Drosophila melanogaster: one gene and its partners. The protein of the gene in region 1 interacts with the protein of each later gene in a pairwise test. Each region holds a gene or a part of one and is shown in the gene's direction. Other genes may lie near its edges.

Region 1 (3,204 bases):
TAAACATTTTTTATTTGTGGTACATTTTAGGTGAAGCCCGACAAGGCTCGCCCGGTTATGGTTTGGATTCACGGAGGAGGCTTCATTATCGGCGAGGCCAATCGGGAATGGTATGGCCCGGATTACTTTATGAAAGAAGATGTTGTTCTCGTCACGATACAGTACCGACTTGGGGCTTTGGGTAATCTACTGTGTGCGTATGCGCAATATTTTGACTAAACATTATTGTACCTACACAGGATTTATGAGTCTTAAGTCCCCCGAGCTAAATGTACCAGGAAATGCTGGCCTCAAGGATCAGGTGCTGGCCCTCAAGTGGATCAAGAACAATTGCGCTAGTTTCGGCGGAGATCCCAACTGCATCACTGTTTTTGGAGAGAGTGCTGGAGGCGCCTCCACTCACTACATGATGCTAACCGATCAGACCCAAGGGCTCTTTCATCGCGGCATCTTGCAGTCGGGCAGTGCCATTTGTCCTTGGGCCTACAACGGCGACATTACCCATAATCCCTACAGGATAGCCAAGCTGGTTGGCTACAAGGGCGAGGACAACGACAAGGATGTGCTGGAGTTCTTGCAGAACGTAAAGGCCAAGGATCTTATTCGCGTGGAGGAAAATGTCCTGACACTGGAGGAACGCATGAACAAGATAATGTTTGCCTTTGGCCCATCCCTGGAACCATTCTCCACGCCCGAATGTGTGATATCCAAGCCTCCAAAGGAGATGATGAAGACCGCCTGGAGTAACTCCATCCCCATGTTTATAGGAAACACTTCGTACGAGGGCCTGCTGTGGGTTCCAGGTTAGATATTGGGAATTTTTTTGAATTTTCTTTCAATAAGTAAATTTAATTTTATTTCACAGAGGTAAAGCTTATGCCGCAGGTGCTGCAGCAGCTTGATGCTGGCACACCTTTCATTCCCAAAGAATTGCTGGCCACGGAGCCCAGTAAAGAAAAACTGGATTCGTGGAGTGCACAGATTCGAGATGTTCATCGCACTGGCTCAGAAAGCACCCCAGATAATTACATGGATGTAAGTGTCGTCCAATTAGGTGCTTACATAATCATAAGCTGGTAATTTATTTCAGCTCTGTTCGATTTACTACTTCGTGTTTCCGGCCCTGAGGGTGGTCCATTCCCGACACGCGTACGCGGCTGGAGCTCCAGTATATTTCTATCGATATGACTTCGACTCCGAGGAGCTCATTTTTCCGTACCGCATTATGCGGTTGGGACGCGGTGTCAAGGGGGTCAGCCATGCCGACGATTTGAGCTACCAATTCAGCAGCCTGCTGGCTCGCCGGTTGCCGAAGGAAAGTCGCGAGTACAGGAACATCGAACGAACCGTGGGCATCTGGACCCAGTTTGCTGCCACGGGTAATCCCTACAGCGAGAAGATCAACGGTATGGACACTCTGACCATTGATCCAGTTCGCAAATCCGACGAGGTCATCAAGTGCCTCAACATCAGTGATGACCTGAAGTTCATCGATCTGCCTGAGTGGCCCAAATTGAAGGTCTGGGAGAGCCTCTATGACGACAACAAAGATTTATTGTTTTAAATTTAACTTACTGTTCTGTACAGCCTAACAAAGAAGTCTCTAGAAACTGTAAATAGGTCAAAATGCTTTATAAAATATATTCTGCAATTGGATTGTTTTGCTTTATAACTAGTTTGCCCAATGATTGCATGTGGATGAGAAATCCTAGTTTAGGTGAGATTTAAAAATATATATTTCTATTTATCTCTATATTTACCTCAGTTTACGCCATTTATTTAAATGCTTGATAACTTCTTAATAAGTTTGAATATAAAAACAATGTTCGACATGCCCTTTTGACTTTACTGTCAATAGCAATAGGAAAATTAAATTTTTAGACTTTTTTAAATTAACAAGTTTTTTTCCGAGATCTAGGGAAAACAAAGGAAAGGAACTCTGATCCCGTTGATAGAATGGCTGCCACTCGTCGTCTGACACGGGAACTCTCCGATCTGGTTGAGGCCAAGATGAGCACTCTGCGCAACATCGAGAGTAGCGATGAGTCCCTGCTGATGTGGACGGGTCTTTTGGTTCCGGAAAAGGCGCCCTACAACAAGGGCGCCTTCCGCATCGAAATCAACTTCCCGCCCCAGTATCCCTTTATGCCACCAAAGATCCTATTCAAGACGAAAATCTATCACCCCAACGTGGATGAGAAGGGGGAGGTGTGCCTGCCCATCATCAGCACAGACAACTGGAAGCCCACAACGCGCACAGAGCAGGTGCTCCAGGCCCTGGTAGCCATCGTCCACAACCCGGAGCCAGAACATCCGCTTCGTTCTGACCTGGCCGAGGAGTTCGTAAGGGAGCACAAGAAGTTCATGAAGACGGCCGAAGAGTTCACCAAGAAGAATGCGGAGAAGCGACCAGAGTGAAGTCAGCCGCAGCTCACATTTATTTGTATATCAAAATTATATATAGTTTGGACCATCAATTAAAACTTGTCAGACATAAGTTGTCCATATTTTGAATGTTCGCTAAGATATATGTATGGCGCATTAAATGGACGGTAATTCGATAAAAAAAATGGGCAAGAAAAAAAGTACAGTTAAAAAGAAATTCAAAATATTTTTCAAAATTGAGGTAAAAAAATTGTGGCCGTTGGTAAGCGTGGAATACATGTTGTTGGTTTATTGCTACAATCGTAGCCAACTCTTGGCTACTTGGCGGTGATTGTGGCCGGTGTCTAGCAATCTACTAAAGAAAACTTGTGCTTCAGCGCCTGTAGAATCTGCATGCTTGATTTCCCATTTCTAGCCATTATAGTTCCCGAGTTCACTCGGATATTGATCCTATATATGTACACATATAATTGATACCTATTACTTGATATACCCCTTTGTCTACGAGTAACGAATTTAATCAAATTACATTAATGTATCATTAACAGTAACAACAGGCAACCGCATTTGGCAATATCGTATTGGTAATTATAGCAATCATATTTACCTAATACAGTTACACATATACGCATAAGCTATCAAATATTGACCACATTCATCACTTTGGACGTCAGGTAGTCCACGTAGTGACGAAGCGTACCAGTAGCGTCTGCGAAGGATAATAACATACTTTCATATATACACGATAATAAAAGTCTGCTGCCGATTATAGCGAGTACCAATAGATATATACCAATAGAACACAAAAACTAAAGGAAT
Region 2 (4,559 bases), on another chromosome or scaffold:
ATTTGCGTCAATTATGTGCATATCTCAAAAGAGGGGCTTGGAAGAAGACACAAGAGAGCCAAAGATAGAGAGTTTAATTAGCCGTTCTAATAATTTCGTTTAATAGTGAAATGGCCATTGTACATACATACATATATCTATGGCAAAGCACAATAAACAATGATAATGACAAGGCTATTCAACCGTTTATTTTTTGTTAGAAACAGCTGATTGCCGTTTTGTATTTGTTTATATAATAAAGCTTTGTTGACGTACGCAAAGCACAGCTGAAAAGCAACAAATGGCATAATCTCGTACGCATTTTTTGGCGTTTATTTATAGGCGGCAAACAAAGAGCGCAGTTAATGCGTCAGTGTGTGTGCCAAACATAGATATGTACTATGTACTTGCGTACATATGTATGTATTGTTTGTATTTTGGCAAACCAAAACAAACAGAAAATTTGCATATTATGCGCACATTAACTTGTTTCCATTGGAGTGGCGGCAAGTTTGGGAAACATAATTTGAGCCATTGAGAAACCGCACTAGCTGTAAATCAGCTGAATATCCATTTGTAGTTGTATGTTGAACTTAGCAATTAAAAGTGAAAGGATACGGGTGAACGCAGAAAAAGAAACGGGTATCTGGTCCTTGGCACTTACAGTTCATGCAGCCTTTTGTGCTCCTCTTCTCCGTCTGGTGTTTGTCCCTATATCTTTTCGGATTTATTGCGAATTGTACATAATTTGTTTAGCTTTTCCCGTAAAATTGTTTTCCGTGTCCCGAAGCCACGTACCGCGCGTCGTTGCCAGATCGGTTGAGTATCGTAAGTACCTGGTGCCACTTATCGATAGCTAATTTTAAATATTTATAAATTCTTGTGTTAAAAATGACCTGAACAGTATTTGAAACTATTATTGAGCACAGGTGAACCTTTTATTAGTTTTTAGCTATAAAATCCAAATTTATTATATATATACATTACATATTTGACTTCCTGATTATGAAATACATTTGTTTAACAACTGGCATACACTTTAATTAGTCTATTTAGTAAAAATCTATAACAAAATAAAACAAAATTGTTCTGAAACCTTGAGACCTAAATATTAGCAAAAAGTTTGAAATTAAATGTTATAAGCGTTTGAGATCCATGTAAACTTACGAAATATAAAAATAACAGTATTTCTGGCACTACTTAAAGTCCATCTCTATAAAGCTCGTATCCGTTAATTTTAAAATAAAACAAGTGCGCCATACGTATTTAAAGCTCAGTGTGTAAAGGGATTCAGATATGGATGGTAACAGCAAAGAAATGGAAAATTGAGAAGCACCCACAAATGACCCATCGCCATACCGGATTCGGAAACTAATTCCCGAACAGACAATGGGCCACAGGTGCATTCACGACGAACTTGTTCGCAGAAGTACCCGGTTAAAAGCCTGTCCTCTGACTCACAAGAATAACAGGGATTTTCCCGAGCACCCTCTGCTCATGAATCTGGACAGAGACAGCTTATCGGATGCCCACCTGCCGCCCGAGGAAGCAGTGCAGTGCGGCACTAACGAGGACGGACATCATGCGTCTGGGCAAGGTACATTCTTCCCATAAGGTCATGTACATCCCGCAGCACGGTCAAGAGGTTAACGTTGGCACCAACGAAGTACTGGTGCAGGTTTGAAACGCTACTTTAATACAAAGTAAAGATCCAGTAGATAACCACAAAATGATAGCACAGTACATTATCTTAGCCAAAATAGAGTTATGATTAAGACGCTAATATAAATGTTACTTAATATAAATGTTACTTACTTAATGCTATAAGATATTTAAAGGATTATTTTCAATCAAGATTCAAACTTATTAAAATAACAGTATTTCTAGTATATTTGGTATTCTCCAGAGGTCATCTCTAATAAAGCAGGAAAGTTGATACGAATCGTTTCGTTTTCCGCTCATTGTTGTGAAATAAATTTGGAACAGAAGAATAGAGCCACACATATTCAAAGCTCAGTATCCATAGGGACGTAGTTATGGAGAGTAATAGTAGTGAAATGGAAGGTAACGGCGGAAAAATCGCAGAAACTGCACCCACAAATGACTCATCACCTTCACTGAACATTTTATGTGCAATTTGCAACGAGTTTTTCCGGGCCAACGACATAATTTTCTCAACTTCACGGTGCGGTCATGTATTCCACAAGGACTGCCTCACCCGATGGCTGAATAGGTCCAGGACCTGCCCCCAATGCAGAGACCCATGCGACCGACGACGCGTGCACCGATTGTACCTAAACTTCGCCGAGGCCCCGGAGTTCGATGACACCGAATTGCCCAAGGTGGCCATGGATTGGGTGCCCATTGATCTGGACAGAGACAGCTTACCGGATGCCCACCTGCCGCCCGAGGGAGCTGTGCAGTGTGGCACCAACGAAGACGGACTGCCCACGTATGTGGCCAGAGGATATTACCACGACGATCTCCTGCCTGCTCCTTATGTACCGGAAAAGAAGGCTGCCTTCGGTTCGCACAGCTGTAGCGCCCGAACTCTGACCGATGATGTCGAGATCCTGGTGCTCAACGACTGTGACTACAAGTGGGTGCCCGGACAGCATGGAACATATCCGCGGGATGCTCTGAACACGGGCTACTCCGAGCTGGGTGAGGTCACCTACACGGGTCGTGGTCTTTACCAGGGTATCCTGCGTCTGGGCAAGGTGCATCCTTCCCACAAGGTCATGTACATCCCGCATCATGGTCAAGAGGTGAGCGTAAACACCTACGAAGTCCTGGTGGTCACCCCACGTGACCAGGCAGATCGATGATGCTGCTGATATCTTAAATCTCTTATGCCTTATTGTATGAATCTGTGTTATAAATACATATGTACGTCTTATTCTATTTTTGAAAAAAATCGGATCTATTATTTCTGTACTTGTTTTAAATTCGCTTATCAGTAAGCCAAGATTTGTCCCCAATTTCTTTAATCAAGCGAAAAATTGATAACTTTGTTTTGACTGCCAGCAAATTATGTACAAATAAAAGTCCCCATATACATATGTATAAGTTAGTCTGCTATTTGCTGCCCTCAAGTATGCAATTCTTTATAATAGTTTGGAAAGTGAAGATGTTTGTGACTAGACACGGGTTTAAAAATATTTTGACCTTGACTTGATCAATGCCTACGATAAACGGAAATCTTGGTTTTTTGTATATTGTATCTAAAACGGACCAACTGTCTTCAAAATGGCAAGATTAATAAAAACTGCGGTCTTAAAGCTTTCTTACTATCGCTTTTGTAAAGTATGCACAACCGAGAGTTGCCCACAGAAGTTCTGGAAAGTGGAAACGCAGAAGACGAGGGGAGTCACCCACAAGGATTCGGAAAATACATTCATCCAATCAGGTGATGTAAATACGGAGGTAAGACTATGACATTCTGCTGGTGATTTCAAAAGTTTTCAAAAGAATTTGTTTTAATGTTTGATTAATGATAATGCAATTTTTTTGTTTTATTAAAAATGTGTTAGACGCTATTTATATGCTGATTAGTGTTTTGAACCTACGCATGTTGCGAACATATTGATTATACCTAAACAAAGAGGTTTAAGTATCTATATAAGACTACTCGTATAACTCTACAATTCATGTTTTTCTCTGCACTCCGGCTTGGCTTTGTTGTTCCAACAGAGGGCCTCACAAAATTTGCTTTAAAAATACGTAAGCTTGTATAATTCGTTTAATAAATCGGCTGAACCTGCACTATAACATGACATTTAATATATAAGTATATATTTAGCTAAAAATACAAATTTTTATATGTTCAACATGCTTTTAACATTTCACCAACAGGCGTTTTACTTTTCAATAGAAATAGGATTATTTTTGTTTTTTCATTGACTTTGTACTTAGTTTCTAAGCAATTTGTATATATAAATATAAAAATGAGTGTGTGTGACTGTATTTTGTGTGGGAGTGTTTATGTGGCGTGGTTGTGTGGGACTACACAAGACATTCATATATATATAATTGGTATTTACAAATTTAGTGGCTCCAATGTGTAATGCATGCATGCTTAATATTCTTTAAGCCTGGATTTGAGATGGATTTGTTTTGTGATTGGTCTAAATTGTTTTGTATTGGTTTAACATTTGAGCTCAGTTGAAGACAAAATAATGTGAAAACAGTCTACGTGGATATACACATCCATTAGGAAACATATACGAAGGCGAAACAAATAACTTCTAAACGGACTTCAAAAACAATTTTCGTACATGTGGATGACTTCGTAAAGTGTATAAACTCATTTCTGGGCCGACAAATAGTTCATGTACTGAGTGGTCTGCTGGGCATTCCGCACCAGCTCGCTTTCCTCCTTTCCGGATGGTGGTTGGCCCTTATCCGCCTGCCCCTGCCAGTTCTCCTCGTTCTGCGGCTGATGGATGTCTGGCTGGGAGCGGCGTGTGAAATGGCGGTGCCGCTGGTGCTGATGCTGATGTGGATTTTGTGGCGATGTCTGTTGGCGACGATCAAACGAGCTGGACGCTTCGCTGGCCAAACTGCTTTGGCTGCTGTAA
Region 3 (3,747 bases), on another chromosome or scaffold:
TGGCGTAGCTCTCCTCGATGAACTCGTTGGGCTACAGGCAGAGTTGGTATATCAAATATAGTTTAACTATGCATAGATAGGTTATTGGATTGTTCAAATTCAGGAGCACTGAAAACCAGCACCACTCTTCACCCAACTTATTTACCACTCACCCCGTCCAGGAGCTGGAATCCCGCCTCGCGCAACACCGTCTTGAACGACTGGCTGGCGATGATGTAGATGAGTCCCTCGAACTTGATGCTCTGCAGATAGCTAACGATGGACTTGGCCGGATGCCAAATCTGCTCCGGGTGCACCTGCATCCCGATCTTGGCGAAGAGTTTGACGCACTGCTCGGACGTGCGAACGCTGTTGTTGGTCAGGAAGGTCAGATGCTTGCCCATCTGCTCGAGAGCGGCATATCCGTCGGCGGCACGCGGAATGCTCTGCTCAAAGGTCCACAGGACGCCATCGATGTCGCTGACCACCCGGTCGAAAGAGTCGACAACGCTGCTCCGCTGCTCCTGGCTTAGCTGCAAAATGTGCTGGGGTTTGGCCTAAGGTTGTAATTGAAAATTCAAATTTAATTCAATAATTAAACTCAAAAAACTAGTAATGGATTTTTTTTAAAAACTATATAATTCTTAACAAGTTCGGCGCTTTGTACAAAAAATGAAATTTATCTATAGCACTTTTTAAAACTTCTAGCATTAAAAGAAAAATTCCATTTTTGGTGACAAAACATCTTTAGCGTTGTAATTCGTGACCTAGACCAACATTAGTTAAACTTTTGTATAAAATATAGGAAAATTGTAAATGGCAGTCCCAGAAAATAATAATAATAGTATATGCGTAGACTTAAAAAACAAATAGGCAGGGGGATCGATGGTGCACCTCGATAAGATTATTCCAGCAAAGCCCTGTTCCCTGCTCACCATTGCAATCCGTTCTGGTGAGTGAAAGTGTTGCTATCGCGATCACGGTCGTCAGCCAACTGACTTTGCTGAATATTGCTCGAGCTGAAATCGAAACCAAAACCAAAACCAAAACAGAATCTATATCCCATGCTGAGAATTAGCACCTCAAACGGCAGAACGACGACGACGGCCACCAAAACACTGGTGAACTTATACGGAAGCATTGGAAGAGAGGGCTCTCCACTTATCGCCTGGTCTTATCTGAACCCCAACGACATCCCCCTACTTATACAGTCCAAGTGGAGCTCGATTTCAAAACAATAGACAACGAAATTAGAAGAGCTTGCAAACAAAAGTTATAGTGTTTATATTTAAAATTATCAACAGAAAGTCTAGGAAATGATAGGAAATTAAAAGTTATAAGCTATGGCTTCAAATTTAAACTCCATGTCTAGATCTTAAAACCAAAGAATTAGTATTTCTGTATTTAAAATACCTAACCGAAGCTTTCAATATACAACTATTTAATATGAACATTTTGTAATAATTTCAATATCACTAGCTTATAGTTTTATGATTTATTTAGTAAAGTTTCACTTTTATTATATTCGTTTTTTTTTTTTTTTAAGAAAAGCCGAATTTCAATGAATATGTAAACCCCCCTACTATTTGAAAGCTGACATCAAGCGTGCAGTGGAAACAGCTCGTTATCTGTACTTTAATACCGAAAAACGCACTAGCGCATTTCAGCTGGCAGCTGGGAAATTTTTAGGTCCTGAATGAGACTTTGTTGCGATTCGATTTGAGGCTTTGGCATCGATTTGTTTTGAGGTGTAAATCGACTGGCTTGGGCCACTGGAAATGAAGCAGCAGGTGGGCCCAGGACAGCAACAGTGACAGCGCCAGCTAACCACAAAATTCGGGCCAGGAGTACGCGGAACTTGGAGTCGGAATCGACAGGAATCGGATCGATAAATGGGCGCCGAGCATTCGCAGCAGCGGGCTGAGGCCGATGGCCACGAGATCTTCGACGGACGCCAGCCACCAGGAGCGGGCACTGGATCCCTCGGCGATGGCAGCTCCATGATGCTGGCGGCCACGGCGGCGGCCAACAAACGACGCGGAGTTGGTCATCGCCAGCAGACGACAGGAGGAGCAGGCGGAACAGTGGTGGGCCCGGGAGCTGGAGTGGGCCCAGCTAGCATTGTGATAGCTAGCAAGCAGATCATCGCCGAGGCCGCTTCGCCCGGCGGCTCCGAACTGAGCAGACCGCCTTCGCCGCCGCTTAGCGTCTGCTCCGACCTGCCATATGTGTCCTATACAGATCGGCCAATCGGTGATTCGCCCAAGATACGCAGCAAGCCGGCGCATATGCTCCAGCAGAGCAGCGCCAGCCGTGCGGCGGCCAGGAAGTCACATCCGAGTGGACTCACCAGCGCCGTGAAACCGAAGCGACCACAGTCCACGGCCTCTAGTCATAATATAGTGATTGTGCGTCCCGGTGCCATCGATGCTGGCGAGGATGTGGACATGGACTTGGCACGATTGCGCAATATACCGCAGTTTCTGCCCGTGCTCCGTGAATCCATCACGTCGGCGACCAATACACGAGATGCAGAGATTCTGGAGCGACTAAACTCGCAGCATTTGATCAACATATGTACCCGCATGCAAACACATCTTAATCTGTGCGCCAGCTATGTGGCCAGCGAACAGAATCACCTCGTGGAACGTACCAAGGTGGTGAGCAACTCGATCACCACCCTCTTTGCCGGATTCGTGGACATGCAGAAGACGTACGCCTCGTACGCCGAGCAATTCGCCAAGATTCGGAGCATATCGCATCAGCTGAGCAGATGCAACTCGCTGCTGCACGAGAACATAGCCAGTCTGGAGGCGATCAATAACTTCCTGGACGACGAGGACCGCCTGGAGCCCTTCGTCTGGCGCACCGACGACAACAAGCTGCGCGGCGAGGCTGAGGGCGCCATCGGAGGCAACAGCAGTCGCCTGTGGCGGCTGTAGGATCCCCACACACTTATTGGTCTCCAAAGATTTTCCTAGCTCATAATAATCGTGTATTTATTGTGTATATTACTCGTTAACGATGCCGCTTAATCGTGATTTTTAATTAGTAAATCAAACCTAATATTAAACTCAATTTGATATTTTATTTCTCGAAATGCAAATAGTATTTTTCTATATTATCACGAAAAAATAATTCTTTATCATTGGAGTGAGGCTAGTTTTGCAAATGCGATAATTTTCTTTCGGTCAGCCAACCAACCACAATAGATATCTCACCACAGTATTATCGTTTGAAACTCATATAAAGGAAGAAACCAATTTGCTTACGACCTTATTTGTCCATTTAAAGGTTTGGATATTTATTTTATACACTGTATTCTCTCTTATGCAAATGCATATTATTACGTATGCTTGCCGCATATATGTATACAAACAATAAAGTCTTCAACTACAATTAACAATTAGACAGCGGTCAAAAGCACATTTATTACTTCTTACACAATTTGTCTAGATTTAGAGTAGATTCTAGCTACGAGTAAATATCGCATATAGGGATATACAATACAATACAAACATACATATACGACTATGGACAACAAATGTGAAACATTTGATTACTATTTTTGGTAACGCTACGCAAACAACATTTTTCATTCCATATACACACGATTACAATTCCACACAAGCATCTGGATGGTACATTTACATTATATTTAGACCCTTTAGCCTACACCGTTGAATGTGAATCGAGGCGGAGGATGAGTATGGGCATATAGTGCCCCAAAATGCAGCTCTCACAAAATGAGGTGGTATGGTACCGAGT

The links. Proteins that work in one complex are often made in the same cells at the same time.
Region 2: the proteins of Ubc84D (region 1) and CG10916 interact in a two-hybrid assay, tested with the Drosophila melanogaster proteins (one large-scale study listed by BioGRID).
Region 3: the proteins of Ubc84D (region 1) and BORCS5 interact in a two-hybrid assay, tested with the Drosophila melanogaster proteins (one large-scale study listed by BioGRID).

Annotation. Positions count from the first base shown.
Region 1 is NT_033777.3:7,518,111-7,521,314, reverse strand, and holds Ubc84D (ubiquitin conjugating enzyme 84D), read left to right. Parts: upstream 1-1,858; 5' UTR 1,859-1,956; coding exon 1,957-2,418; 3' UTR 2,419-2,495; downstream 2,496-3,204. Other genes in the region: alpha-Est7 (alpha-Esterase-7), read left to right, coding at 31-181, 240-803, 866-1,035, 1,091-1,564. UniProt on the Drosophila melanogaster protein: Catalyzes the covalent attachment of ubiquitin to other proteins.
Region 2 is NT_033778.4:18,171,795-18,176,353, forward strand, and holds CG10916 (uncharacterized protein), read left to right. Parts: upstream 1-1,874; 5' UTR 1,875-2,015; coding exon 2,016-2,807; 3' UTR 2,808-3,931; downstream 3,932-4,559. Other genes in the region: CG5726 (uncharacterized protein), read right to left, coding at 4,286-4,559.
Region 3 is NC_004354.4:11,870,671-11,874,417, reverse strand, and holds BORCS5 (BLOC-1 related complex subunit 5), read left to right. Parts: upstream 1-1,638; 5' UTR 1,639-1,871; coding exon 1,872-2,921; 3' UTR 2,922-3,119; downstream 3,120-3,747. Other genes in the region: CG15739 (uncharacterized protein), read right to left, coding at 1-31, 153-536, 915-917.